Oryzias latipes: one gene and its partners. The protein of the gene in region 3 interacts with the protein of the main gene of each other region in a pairwise test. Links are inferred from orthologs where the notes say so. Each region holds a gene or a part of one and is shown on either strand. Other genes may lie near its edges. The genes, in order: sos1, was and intersectin-2.

Region 1 (3,751 bases), on a different chromosome or scaffold from region 3:
CTTCTCTCTCGTCTGTCTTCAGGCATTTTCTGCACCATCTCCTTATGTACCTATGCGGCCAGCGTGACCTATGACCTCTCCAGAAACCCCCCCTTCATCTACGGTCTGCCTGGAGATGTGGATCATGGGTACGGTTGGTCCATCTACTTCGCCTGGACAAGTCTGGGTCTGACCGTGGCTGCCGGCTGCCTTGCTACCACCTTCCCCTTCCTGAACCGGGCCCGAGCTCTGAGGTCCAAAACTGCACGGGAATCTTCTGTGTGAGCTGTTGGTGATCAGCAGGACACCGGACTCCGAGACGTGGTCCAGACTGGGCTGCAGAGGTTTTATTTACACTGGCTTCTGGACTCTTGCTGAGGGAGAACCTCAAGAGGACTCATACCTCTGCTGCAAAGCTTCTGTGGAGCATGGCGCCCCCTTCTGGGTGTCTTCGATAGGAACAGTGTTTGTAGTGTCAGAGGAACCGCCGTCCGACCCGGCTTGGACGGGTCTTACAGTGTCTGTTAGCCAGTGACCGTTTCTCATTGTGAAATTATGTATTTTGGCTGACCCCCCCCCCCTGCGGTTTTTACACAGGTGTGATCACAGGTGAAGATCTGGTGAGTTTGAATCTTGAGGGGCGGGTTCAGGTCCGATGATGGAGCCTCCTCTCTGACTGCATGGAGGCGCAGTTTTTGGCTCCAGATGAGCCCAGATCCATTTCAGCCCCCCCATCAGGCCACAGACAGGTGGGAGACACATGGGGGGGGGGGGGGGGTCGTGATCCCCATGTCCGGTCCATTGAAAAGTCAGCAGAACTTAGATGTGTCCAAACCTTTTTCACTCAACAGCACCAGATTTTTGTAAAGGTGATCAAGACACCTCCTTAGTGCAGGTAAGAAGGTCCGAACAGGGCCCCCCATACCACTTAACCTGACCCCCACCCACACACCACTTGACCCCCCCCCATTTGTAAATAAAATACTTGAAGCCCACCTGATCTCAGAGTGGTTTCTTCTCATTGGTACGGAGTCCCTCAGTTGGTTCTGGTTCTGAGTGTTGAATCTTCAAATCAGACTCCACTCTGGAACTTTGAAGCTAATGGGGGCGGAGGGGGGTTGTTACGACCCCCCCGACCCAGATCAAGGTCAGTCCTGGTTCCGGTTCTGTTTCTAACCTTCAAAAACGTACATCAGGACAGAGTTTATTATTTGAGTTCTGACCTGCACGTGCTCCTATGTTCCGGTGGTCCGATTCCCATCAGATCAGTTTGATTCTCCGCTCTACAGCAGCCCCGCCCCTGAACGTCAGCAACTACCCACTGCGCATGCTCACTATCTCGCCATGTTCGGTTCGGTCCTCCGGAGCGCTGCAGCCGTCAGCAGGTGACCGTCCGACCTTCCGGTTCGGATCCTGGTTGAGACAGACCGGGTGTCACGCGGCCCCCACCCGCAGGCGCCGCACTGGAGCCCCCCCCCCCAGCCGCAACGGTGACATGACAGCCGCGGCGCGCCGTTTGCTCCGCTGACCCCCCCCTCCGCGCCCAGTAACCGACGCAGAGACCCCCTCCCTCCCGCCGCCGGCGAGCCTGTGCTGGGAGCGCGCAGCCCGGGAGCGCGCAGCAAGCCATGCCCTCCGCCCGGTCCAGCTAGCTCCTAGCCGCGGAGCTAACGGTTAGCCGAGGATGGTGGCGGCGGTCCCGGCGGATCCCGGACGTCGTGAGGCCCCCGGCTTCAGCCGCGCAGCTGGACCCGCAAAGCCGCGCACAGAATTCACGCCAAACGGAGCCGCGTGCGTGTGAGCATGCAGACGGGCCAGCTGCAGTTCGATTTCTGCAGCGAGGACAACGCTCCGCGGTGGAGAGGCCTGCTGGTGCCCTCCCTGGAGAAGGTAGGTGCGCACGCACGCACGCACGCACGTAGGCGGCTGCTGCAGCCAGGTGTGGCCCTGCAGGTAAGCCGGGCCGTTCCGTGACAGGACGGCTGACGTCAGATGGGGGCAGCGGGGTCTGCCTGCTCCCCGGAGGCTACAGGTTCTGGACTCTTCCAGCTCACCTGGACCACTTCAGTCCCGATCCGACCTGAACCACTTCAGTCCCGATCGGACCTGGACCACTTCAGTCCCGATCCGACCTGGACCACTTCAGTCCCGATCCGACCTGGACCACTTCAGTCCCGATCCGACCTGGACCACTTCAGTCCCGATCCGACCTGGACCACTTCAGTCCCGATCCGACCTGGACTGATGTGGTTCTCTTGTGATTTAGAAGATCAACACTCTGCAAATCTGTTCCTCACTGTCCCAGAGTTCTTTGTTGGACCTCCAAAGTTGTGGGTTGGACCGGGTAGAAGCGCTCCAGGTGGCTGACCTCTGACCCTCTGGATCCATGTTTCATAAGTTCTGCTCACCATCAGAACCTCTGACCGCTGTCATCAGGCCCGCGTCCTGAGAGATCCATTTAATGATGGCAGAGTCCAGCTGGTAGGCAGAAACTACAACAGGAACTCAAAGAATGATGACAGGTTTCTGACCCACAACACGGTCTACCACCATGTGGACCTGGTTTGTAACGCTCATGGTTTCTGTGTTGGTTCTGGTTCTACTGCCAGCGGTGCATCAGGTGGAAATGTGGGAGGTTGGATGGACTGAGGTCTCCTGGGTTCAGATGATGTTCTATTGGGTCAGGACAGATGTTTGGACTCCTGCATGTATTAATTTAATGGGATTTAAAACCCAAAAGGTTAAATTATGATTAAACGACTTTAAAACTGGACTAAAATAACTGTTTGTGATCATCAGCTGTGGTTCTGGACGGGAACATTTCCAGAGAAGGTCTTCTTAGCTGCATGAAAGGAGCAGCAGGTCTGGTCTTTACCTGGTTCCTGTGGGACCAGCATGCAGACCTGAACCCGGTGTAGAGTCTGACCGTCGCCCATAAGTGGGTTTCGGCCTGTTGGTGAACATAAATTAAAAAAAAGAAACACAGAAGAAGCTAAAACCAACAGAAACTCAGAGAGAAAGGTGTCTTTCTGTCCTCCTCCACTGGGGGGCAGCACATATCCATGAGGCCTGTGTTTCTGCTTGTTCTGATCAAACCTGCTCTGTCATTTCGTTTTGTTTAATTATTGATCAAACGTTGTGTGTGTGGCTGCACGCTGCAGGTACTGAACCAGGTACACCCCAACCTGAAGTCCCAGCAGGAGGCGCTGCAGTACATCGAAGAGCTGATCCTGCTGCTGCTCAGCATGTTGTGTCAGGCCCAGCCTCGCACAGTGCAGGACGTGGAGGTGACGCACACGTGCACACATGCACAGATACACGCATGCACACATACACAGATACACACATGCACAGAAATACATGTGCACACAAACACACGTGCACACCTGCACCCATCCACACGTGCACACGTTTGCCGTGGCCACATGCATGTTCCACCAACAAGCCCTTGAAATCTCCACCAATGATTCAGACCTACAGGCTTAGGGATGCTGAAACCTGGAAACAAACCCTCTTACCTTTAGTCACCTAAGTGAGGTCAAGCCTGCAGGTCAGGTCACTTGGTCCTCACACCTTCTGTCGGTTGTCTTAGGAGAGGGTCCAGAAGAGTTTTCCTTATCCTATCGACAAGTGGGCGATTGCAGATGCTCAGGCGGCCATCGAGAAAAGGAAGAGAAGGAACCCTCTGTCTCTGCCGGTTGATAAGATCCATCCCCTGCTGAAGGTAACCGTCCTGTCAGTGTTTTCTCCATCCTCCGCTCTTGTCCATGTT
Region 2 (3,751 bases), on a different chromosome or scaffold from region 3:
GAACAACATGACAGCAATGGAAATGCCATTTATAGAATGCTGATGTGTTCTGTTTCTTGGAATAGTTCAGTCACAGTAATCCCTATATTGCACTTCCCTGCTATTCCAGTTTTTACAGGACACCCATCTGAATACAGTCAGTATATGCAACTGCTTTTGCTTCTTGTTAAACAACACAAAACCTGATCCTTTTCCATTTTCCTTTGGTTTGAGAGCTTTATCGGACCTTACTTGATCAGCTTAAAAGCACTTGGGAACAAAATTGATTTTAATCAATCAAAAGAGAAAATATTTATTTAGTATTTTTAATGGGTACTTTATCCGACTGACGTAAAAACCATAATTATCATCGAACTTAAAGTCCCACAGTTGTTGGGGCTTTACTGCCATTTCTTCAAAGTCAACAGTTACTGACCATCATAAACACACATACAGTGAGTTTAAACAGGGATTCTTTTTGTTACTTACAAGCGTCAAGCCAAAAAAAAGGAATTTTGTCACTTTACAAAAATAAAATGTATTTTTTATTAAAATGCTTGACAAAGCCAGTTAAACTCAAGATTGACATAAATCCAGTATTAGACAGATTTTGCAGTCCTGGAAAATGTTGAGGAACTGCCCTTTTTCAATTTTATGTACAATAAAGGAAGTTTTGTTTTGTCCGTCAAATGGTATCTTTTAACTGTTTTATGCAGGATGTGCATTTTTAAATTAATGTGAATGTTGTTATCTGTCAATAAAATAAGTGTCATTTGTACATCTGTGTTTTGTCGCTGGTGTTTTCTCCTTCTGATATTAAATGCACCCAGAATGTGTGTTTGCTTTATTAAATTTGAATATGCACATCAGTGGAAGAGCAACATTTCGCCGCCTCTATGAAAATGGAAGTATAGCACGTTCATTTATGCCCAAGCGAAGAAGAAAAGTGGGGGTTAGAGAAGTGCGGTTGTTCATTTCCTGCTTTGAGCTGCGTTCAAAACAGAGAAGAGAAACTTCCTTGATTGCAAAGTTAACCGAAGAGGCCATTCTCTTAGCGACTGCAGGGCTGCTTTTTTTTAAACAAGATACATGCAGATTTCAGATAAAGTGGATCTTTTTTAAGAGGCATCATGAGCCGTGGATCTAAAAGTAAGACTGAGAGCAACCGAAGCTCTCTGTTGAGCCAACAAGAGAATGAGAAGCTGGAGGAGCTGCTGGGAAGAAGATGTTCAGTAAGTTCTGAAATGACCTAATACACTCTGTCTCATCTGTGAAAATGAGGGGTTAAGGCCTAAGACCTTTTATAGCTGACACTCAAAAAATGTCCATATCACTTCTATCTGCTATTTCAAGGATGATTAAACATCACATCCTAAATTTAAGAGCATAGTTGCAGCTCAGCACTGAGGCTTTTGAGAATACTTTTTTTAATTTTACCTCCACTGATCTTTTCTTTTATTTTAGATAATTCCTCGGAAAAAAAAGTAAACACTAGCAAGAGTACATGTATATTTCTCTAAAATAAAATTCCTTTTTTTGTTTGAATTATATTCTAGCATTGAGTTGTGAAAAAGAGGGTGGCCCTTACAGGAAATGGTAGCTAAAACGATTCTTCCCCTGCCGTCAGAATTAGAAACCATGTTGGGTTGAGTCTCACAGTGTGGAAGATGTTGCTTTGTGTTTGTTAGCTGCAAAAGTAAATATTCTCAATGAAAGCTTAACATTTGAACATGCTCTCAATGTAAAGTGTTTCATCGTTTGCAGTGGAAAATAAAGAATGCCATTGAACCTAACTAACGATGAGGAGGAAGATAATCGTCACGCAACTGGAAATTTACATGAGGACTGCAATGAAATGCTCTTGGGAGTCTTATCGGCTGTGAACAGTTTTTAATCGGTCCCTTATTTGTGTGTTTAGTCCATGGCCACTGCAGTGGCTCAGCTGTTCATGGCTCTCCCTCACAGTCCAACCATGTGGAGTATGCAGCACACCGGGGTGGTTTGCTTTGTCAAAGACAACCCTCAGCGCTCCTACTTCATCCGAATGTTTGACATGAAGGTCAGTCAGAGGCTCACTGTGCTCTGAAGATCCAGTCGTGATAACCAGGTTCCCCTTTTCAAGGCCTGCTGAGCACTAGGGTCACTAACTGACACATCCATCATTTGCTCCCTCAGACAGAGAAAATGGTTTGGGAGCAGGAGCTGTACAACCAAATCATTTACTCCACTCCACGGACGTTTTTTCACACCTTCACTGCAGATGTAAGTGCTCGTTGATCTGCCCTTCTTAAATCATAATCTTCTACCTTGTGGGGTGGTTTAATGCATCGGCTTGTGTAAACTCATTGAAGGATTGTCAAGTGGGGCTGAACTTCTCAGATGAAGGCGAAGCAGAAATTTTCCAAAATGCCGTTGTGGAGAAAATCAGTCAAAGAAACAACCGTCAAGGTCAGCATCTCTTCTGTGGGGATTATCAGATAGAATCATGAACGCGACAAGTTTGTGCCTGATTTGCATTTCCGATGAACTGAACTTCTGTTTTTATCCGGGGCTCAGAGGAAAGTGGCAAATAAAGTAAATGCATGTTTGAATATTTACAAATTCTGTGTTTTTAAGTTATATGGTAAGATTTTTTGTTGTTAAAATACTGAAAGAAACAGTTTGCACTCATTCAAGTGTTTTTGGTGGCCTGAATTTTTTTTCCTGTTGACAGATAAGAAACAGCGCCCCCTACCGACGCCTGGTAAATACACATTTTTTACACTATTTTTGGATAAATTCCTCCTGCATTTCAGAATATCATTTTTTCTCCTCTGTTTTGTTGTAGATCGAGGTTCCTTGCCTCCAGTTCCTCCTGACAAAGGTGTCTTTTTTCAAATTCAATTTCAAATTGTGGTTTCAATATTTTTTTTTCAAATTAAATAAATATATGATAGTGTCTTAATTGGAATTTCTTTCTAAAAAGCAGCAGCTGGTAACCACGGTTCCTTTCACATGGCAACAGTGGACATCCAAAACCCAGACATCCAGTCTTCACGTTATCGCACCATGCCTCCACCCCCTGCTGCTACAGCTGTAGTTATTAATAATAAGAAAAGCAAGAAAAGCAAGAAAAAAGGTCCTAAACTGTCCAAGGCAGACATAGGAGCTCCCAGCGGGTTTACGTAAGAAATGGAGTCTTTAGAGGTACTCATGTGTTGCTGTCTGTTTATTCCTGCTCTCCTCTCTGCCAGGCATGTGTCGCATGTTGGATGGGACCCCAATAACATTGACCCTAATCTGCTGAAGCTGTTCTCCCAGGCGGGCATTAGTGAAGCTGACCTCAAGGACGAGAAGACCTCCCAGCTCATCTATAATGTCATTGAGCAGTCCGGGGGAATTGAAGCTGTCCAACAGGAGGCAAACAGAGCAGGTTGGATGCATATGTTTGATCGTTTGATCATTTTCAGAGCCTCTGCTAAATGCATAACTCACATGTTCTACCAGCTGCTGCACCTCCACCACCTCCACATGGCAGACAGGGAGCCCTGCCTCCTCTGCCCGGCTCTGGGTCTTCCGCTCCAGCCCCTCCGCCCCCTCGAGGTCGCTCCGGCCCTCTACCACCGCTCCCAGGTCAATCCCAGCGGGGGAGCCCGACTCCAAATCCACCTCCACCACGTGGGGGCCTGCCACCTCCGCCTCCATCAAGCCGAGGGGGCCTACCCCCACCCCCTCCGCAGGCTCCACCCTCCTCAAAACAGGGTGCCTCATTCCAAGTGTCCTCCCACATCAT
Region 3 (3,651 bases):
AACGACGGTCGGGTGGACTTCAGCAAACGGCAGAGTGTGACCCACAGAGAAGCTGAGAGAGGATGAGTCCCAACAGGGAGAAGCTAAAAATACATACGCGTGCTGCGGCAAAAGATGTGCGTGCACGTTTGTGGCACCAGCAGCTGGTCTGACACATCGAGACCCACTTACAGTGTAAGGCCAAGATGAGCCACCATGATTAAAATGGCGTTTTTGGTGTTATTAACATGTTCTTGTGTAATTTTTCTGATGATAGAGGACAGATATGAAGACAGTTAGGCTTAAATTGCACTTTTAAGTATTCCTTTATTCAAATTGAGATGCTCTAGTGTTTGTTTTGTTTTTGTCCTCTCTGACCTAAAAGTGTCTAAACAAGTCTTTTCTGTTGGACATTGCTTCCTCCTTCTGGATGTTTTCCCTTATTAATAGGGCATAAAGAAAATACACTTAAACCATGGCTACGTGTATGAATGATTTGGACTATTTGAGTTTCTACGACCTTTAAACATTTGACTTTTTGATTTGCTGTGATGCACATCTTTCACTGCCACTTGGTTGTGTTGTATTTGAAGCGATGCTTTAAAGTCCCAGTCCAATCATCTATTTTCAAAGGCGTTTTCCACTGGTCTTTTGTTGTGAATACGAATATGCCTTTGTAGCCAAAATAAAAAACACCTGTAATTTTCTAGGACACAGTTTCTGCAGAGCATCAGTACATTTGAAATTTACCCCTGAGTTGTGGGTTGGACTGTTGGCAAAGAGCAACCCCGCCCCCCTTCCCCTCCCCATTCTTGAGAGCGCAGAGCAAGGAGCTTGTGTCCCGCTCGGCGTATTTTCTACGTCACAAATACCATCTTTTACAAACAGCATTCTTTCATCTGCTCCTGATTCACAACGATTTGAACAAAGAAATGCATCTCTTAATGCATCTCTTAATATATGTTCTCAATCATCAGAAAAATGCCACAAGCCCATGTAAAAAAAAACAACACAATTTTTTATCAGAGTGAGTATTTAATCAAAATCAGAGTAAAAAATTGTGAGAAAAAATTATTAATATCAGCAAAGAACATTGTATTCTGGAATGTTTCTTGCAGTTTAATGTGAAAAAAGACTTTCTTCCATGACATTTACCTTAAATCTGAAGATTAAAGAGATGATAACAGAAAGATGGAATGCTTTAACTACATCTGGCATATTAAGATCGTCTCACCTGTGAAGGATCTGAATTTACAAGAGCAGTGTTATTGTCTGCTTTCTCCACAGCTGGATCTCTGCAATACAAGTGGGACCAGCTTTAAGAGACAGCACTGGACACAACTTTCAAGGAAAATATCCAAAACTGCTTAACTTTGGCCTCATACTTTGTGTTTGGTTGAAGACAGGATTTCTTTCCAGCAGCAGGAGCAGCAGCTTCGGAGGTGAGGAAGGTGGGACATTTCTCTGCGTAACTCTGGGGGAACCAGCCCCTCTTTCCACAGTACGTCCCACACAACCAGCCAGGCTCGCCCACAGTGAGCTCATTCACCTGCCACAACAGACAGAAATATGCAACAAGGTGAGATTAGAAGAAAAAACATTTTGCATAACAAACAATAATCCATCCATAAAATAAGTGGTAGCAATTAGTCATCCAGTTAGTTTATTAAAGGAAATATTTTCATGTAAGAATATTTTTCGCTGATATTAAGCTGCAGATTATTAATGATATTTAAAAATTATAGAAGCTTTTTTCTTACCTGGATGAGGCAGTTTGCATCTATACTAAGCTCATCTGCGTTGCGGGCAACAAATGAATACAAAGCTTTGTATGTTGTCAGCTGTCCTCCTCTTTCCAGTTCCTTCTTCTTCATCACCTCCAACTCCTTCAGTTTCCTCCCTTCTTCCTCTTCTCTCTTCTTCCGCTCCTCCTCTTCCCTTCTCTGCCTCTCCTCCACCTCCTTTCTCCTCCTTTCCTCTTCCTGTTCTCTTTTCTGCCTCTCCTCCTCCTCCTCTCTCCTTCTTCTTTCCTCTTCCCTCCTCTGTTGCTCCTCTTCCTGTGCTTTCTCCTGGGCAGCCCGGAGGCGAGCTTGTGCTTCTCTCTCCTCTTCCTCTCTCTGCCTAGCCCACTGCTCCTTCAGGAGCCTCCTCTGCCGTTCCTCCTCTTCTTCTCTCTCCTTTTTTTCTTTTTCTCTCTGCTCCTGCTCTCTCCTCTCCTGCTCCAGCTTCTTCTGTCTGTAGAAAAAAACAAAAACAACACTTTAAAAGACTTCACGGGATGTTTTTTCTTTTACCAAATATCTTGTAAATTTTAACATCTACAAGGAATTTGAATCTAAAACCCCTAGATCAGAGCTTTCTTATTTTATTATTTTGCATCAGTTCAAGACTTTTTTTTAAAAAAAACGTCAGAAATTTCACTGGATTTTCACTAACTCGTAGACTAAACAGGTCAAAATACGCTTGGTTGTCAGACTGTAGTCCAGCAGCAGTCTCTAGTCCAGAGTTTGTAATATTTGTGCCAGACATCAGTGTGACCACAATGGCTGCAACTCTTCCTTACACTAAACTTAGTAGAAAGCTGCATTTTATATAAAAGTGCTTCCTATATTATGAAGGGTTTTAACATGCATCATTTAACATGAGTCTGTTGAAAAAACATCTGCAGACTCTGTGTCACATCTGTCTGCATGGACCCACTCCAATCATCTTTTGATCTATTTTTAAATCGTTCCCATTGGTCTTTTAATTATGATTATGTTGTTTATAGCCAGAACCCCCCCCCCCCCCCCCCCCCCCCCCCCCGGTCATTTTCGAGGGCTGTATCTGCAGAGCTGCAGGAGTTTATCAGAAATTAATCTCCGAGCTGTGGGTGGGAGGAACCCTAGCCCCACACAAATTGTCCTGCTAGCCTACAGCCCCTCACAACCCCAACCTAACACTAGGGGTGCAACAAAAATGGCGAGCAATATTGGAACTATCCAGCCGTACATTTTTGTCCTGATCCCAGCTCAGATGAAGAAAACAAAGACGTACATTTGTCTACAAGTGGTTGCATCAGAATGGAGCGGAGCAGGGAGACTGTAGGGAGACCTGGTGTATTTTCAAATGGCATTTTATTTGTCTGCTCATGATTCACAGCAATGAAATATTGAATTTTAAGCTTAATTCTTTAATATATGTCCTCTATCATCAGCAAAATGCAACCAGAACATGTTCATAACACCAAAAACACAATTTTTTTCAGGTTATTTATCGGAGATTGTAAAATGTATACAAACTGTAAATGAGCTTGTAGAGTTGATTATGGCGCAGTGTTAAAGTGAAGAATAACTTTCTTGTGTGTTTACAATCTTTTCCTACTCTTCTGTGTTTCCATGTACGTGCAGGACTGTTCCCCCTAAATTGTGAGCCAATTAAAAAATGTCCACTTTGTGGTGCCCTGAGATGCTATGAAAACTGGAAGCAGTCAGGCGGAAAGCGTTTTAATCCAATGATTTAATCCAATGATTGCTGAGTTCCTTTCATTCACTGATAGGTAGCTATAAGACAGCATGGGATTGTCTTTTTAATTGTGAGTTGTACTCAGGAGACAGAAATATTCTGCAGATTGTGCAGCTACATCAAAAACAAGTGTTCACCTGGTTGCCTCCTCCTCCTCTCTCCTCCTCC

What was found.
Region 1: the proteins of intersectin-2 (region 3) and sos1 interact in a two-hybrid assay, tested with the Homo sapiens proteins (2 studies listed by BioGRID and IntAct). The link is inferred for Oryzias latipes from reciprocal best matches to the Homo sapiens genes ITSN2 and SOS1.
Region 2: the proteins of intersectin-2 (region 3) and was interact in a two-hybrid assay, tested with the Homo sapiens proteins (2 studies listed by BioGRID). The link is inferred for Oryzias latipes from reciprocal best matches to the Homo sapiens genes ITSN2 and WAS.

Annotation. Positions count from the first base shown.
Region 1 is NC_019859.2:117,652-121,402, reverse strand, and holds the start of sos1 (son of sevenless homolog 1), read left to right. Parts: upstream 1-1,327; 5' UTR 1,328-1,782; coding exon 1,783-1,869; intron 1,870-3,140; coding exon 3,141-3,266; intron 3,267-3,571; coding exon 3,572-3,703; intron 3,704-3,751. Other genes in the region: tmem178a (transmembrane protein 178A), read left to right, coding at 23-264.
Region 2 is NC_019865.2:21,090,861-21,094,611, forward strand, and holds the start of was (wiskott-Aldrich syndrome protein), read left to right. Parts: upstream 1-960; 5' UTR 961-1,109; coding exon 1,110-1,211; intron 1,212-1,897; coding exon 1,898-2,038; intron 2,039-2,154; coding exon 2,155-2,241; intron 2,242-2,330; coding exon 2,331-2,427; intron 2,428-2,692; coding exon 2,693-2,722; intron 2,723-2,806; coding exon 2,807-2,842; intron 2,843-2,944; coding exon 2,945-3,143; intron 3,144-3,212; coding exon 3,213-3,391; intron 3,392-3,465; coding exon 3,466-3,751. UniProt on the Homo sapiens protein: Effector protein for Rho-type GTPases that regulates actin filament reorganization via its interaction with the Arp2/3 complex. Important for efficient actin polymerization. Possible regulator of lymphocyte and platelet function.
Region 3 is NC_019882.2:14,797,276-14,800,926, reverse strand, and holds part of intersectin-2, read right to left. Parts: coding exon 3,621-3,651; intron 2,215-3,620; coding exon 1,740-2,214; intron 1,529-1,739; coding exon 1,365-1,528; intron 1,275-1,364; coding exon 1,214-1,274; intron 1-1,213.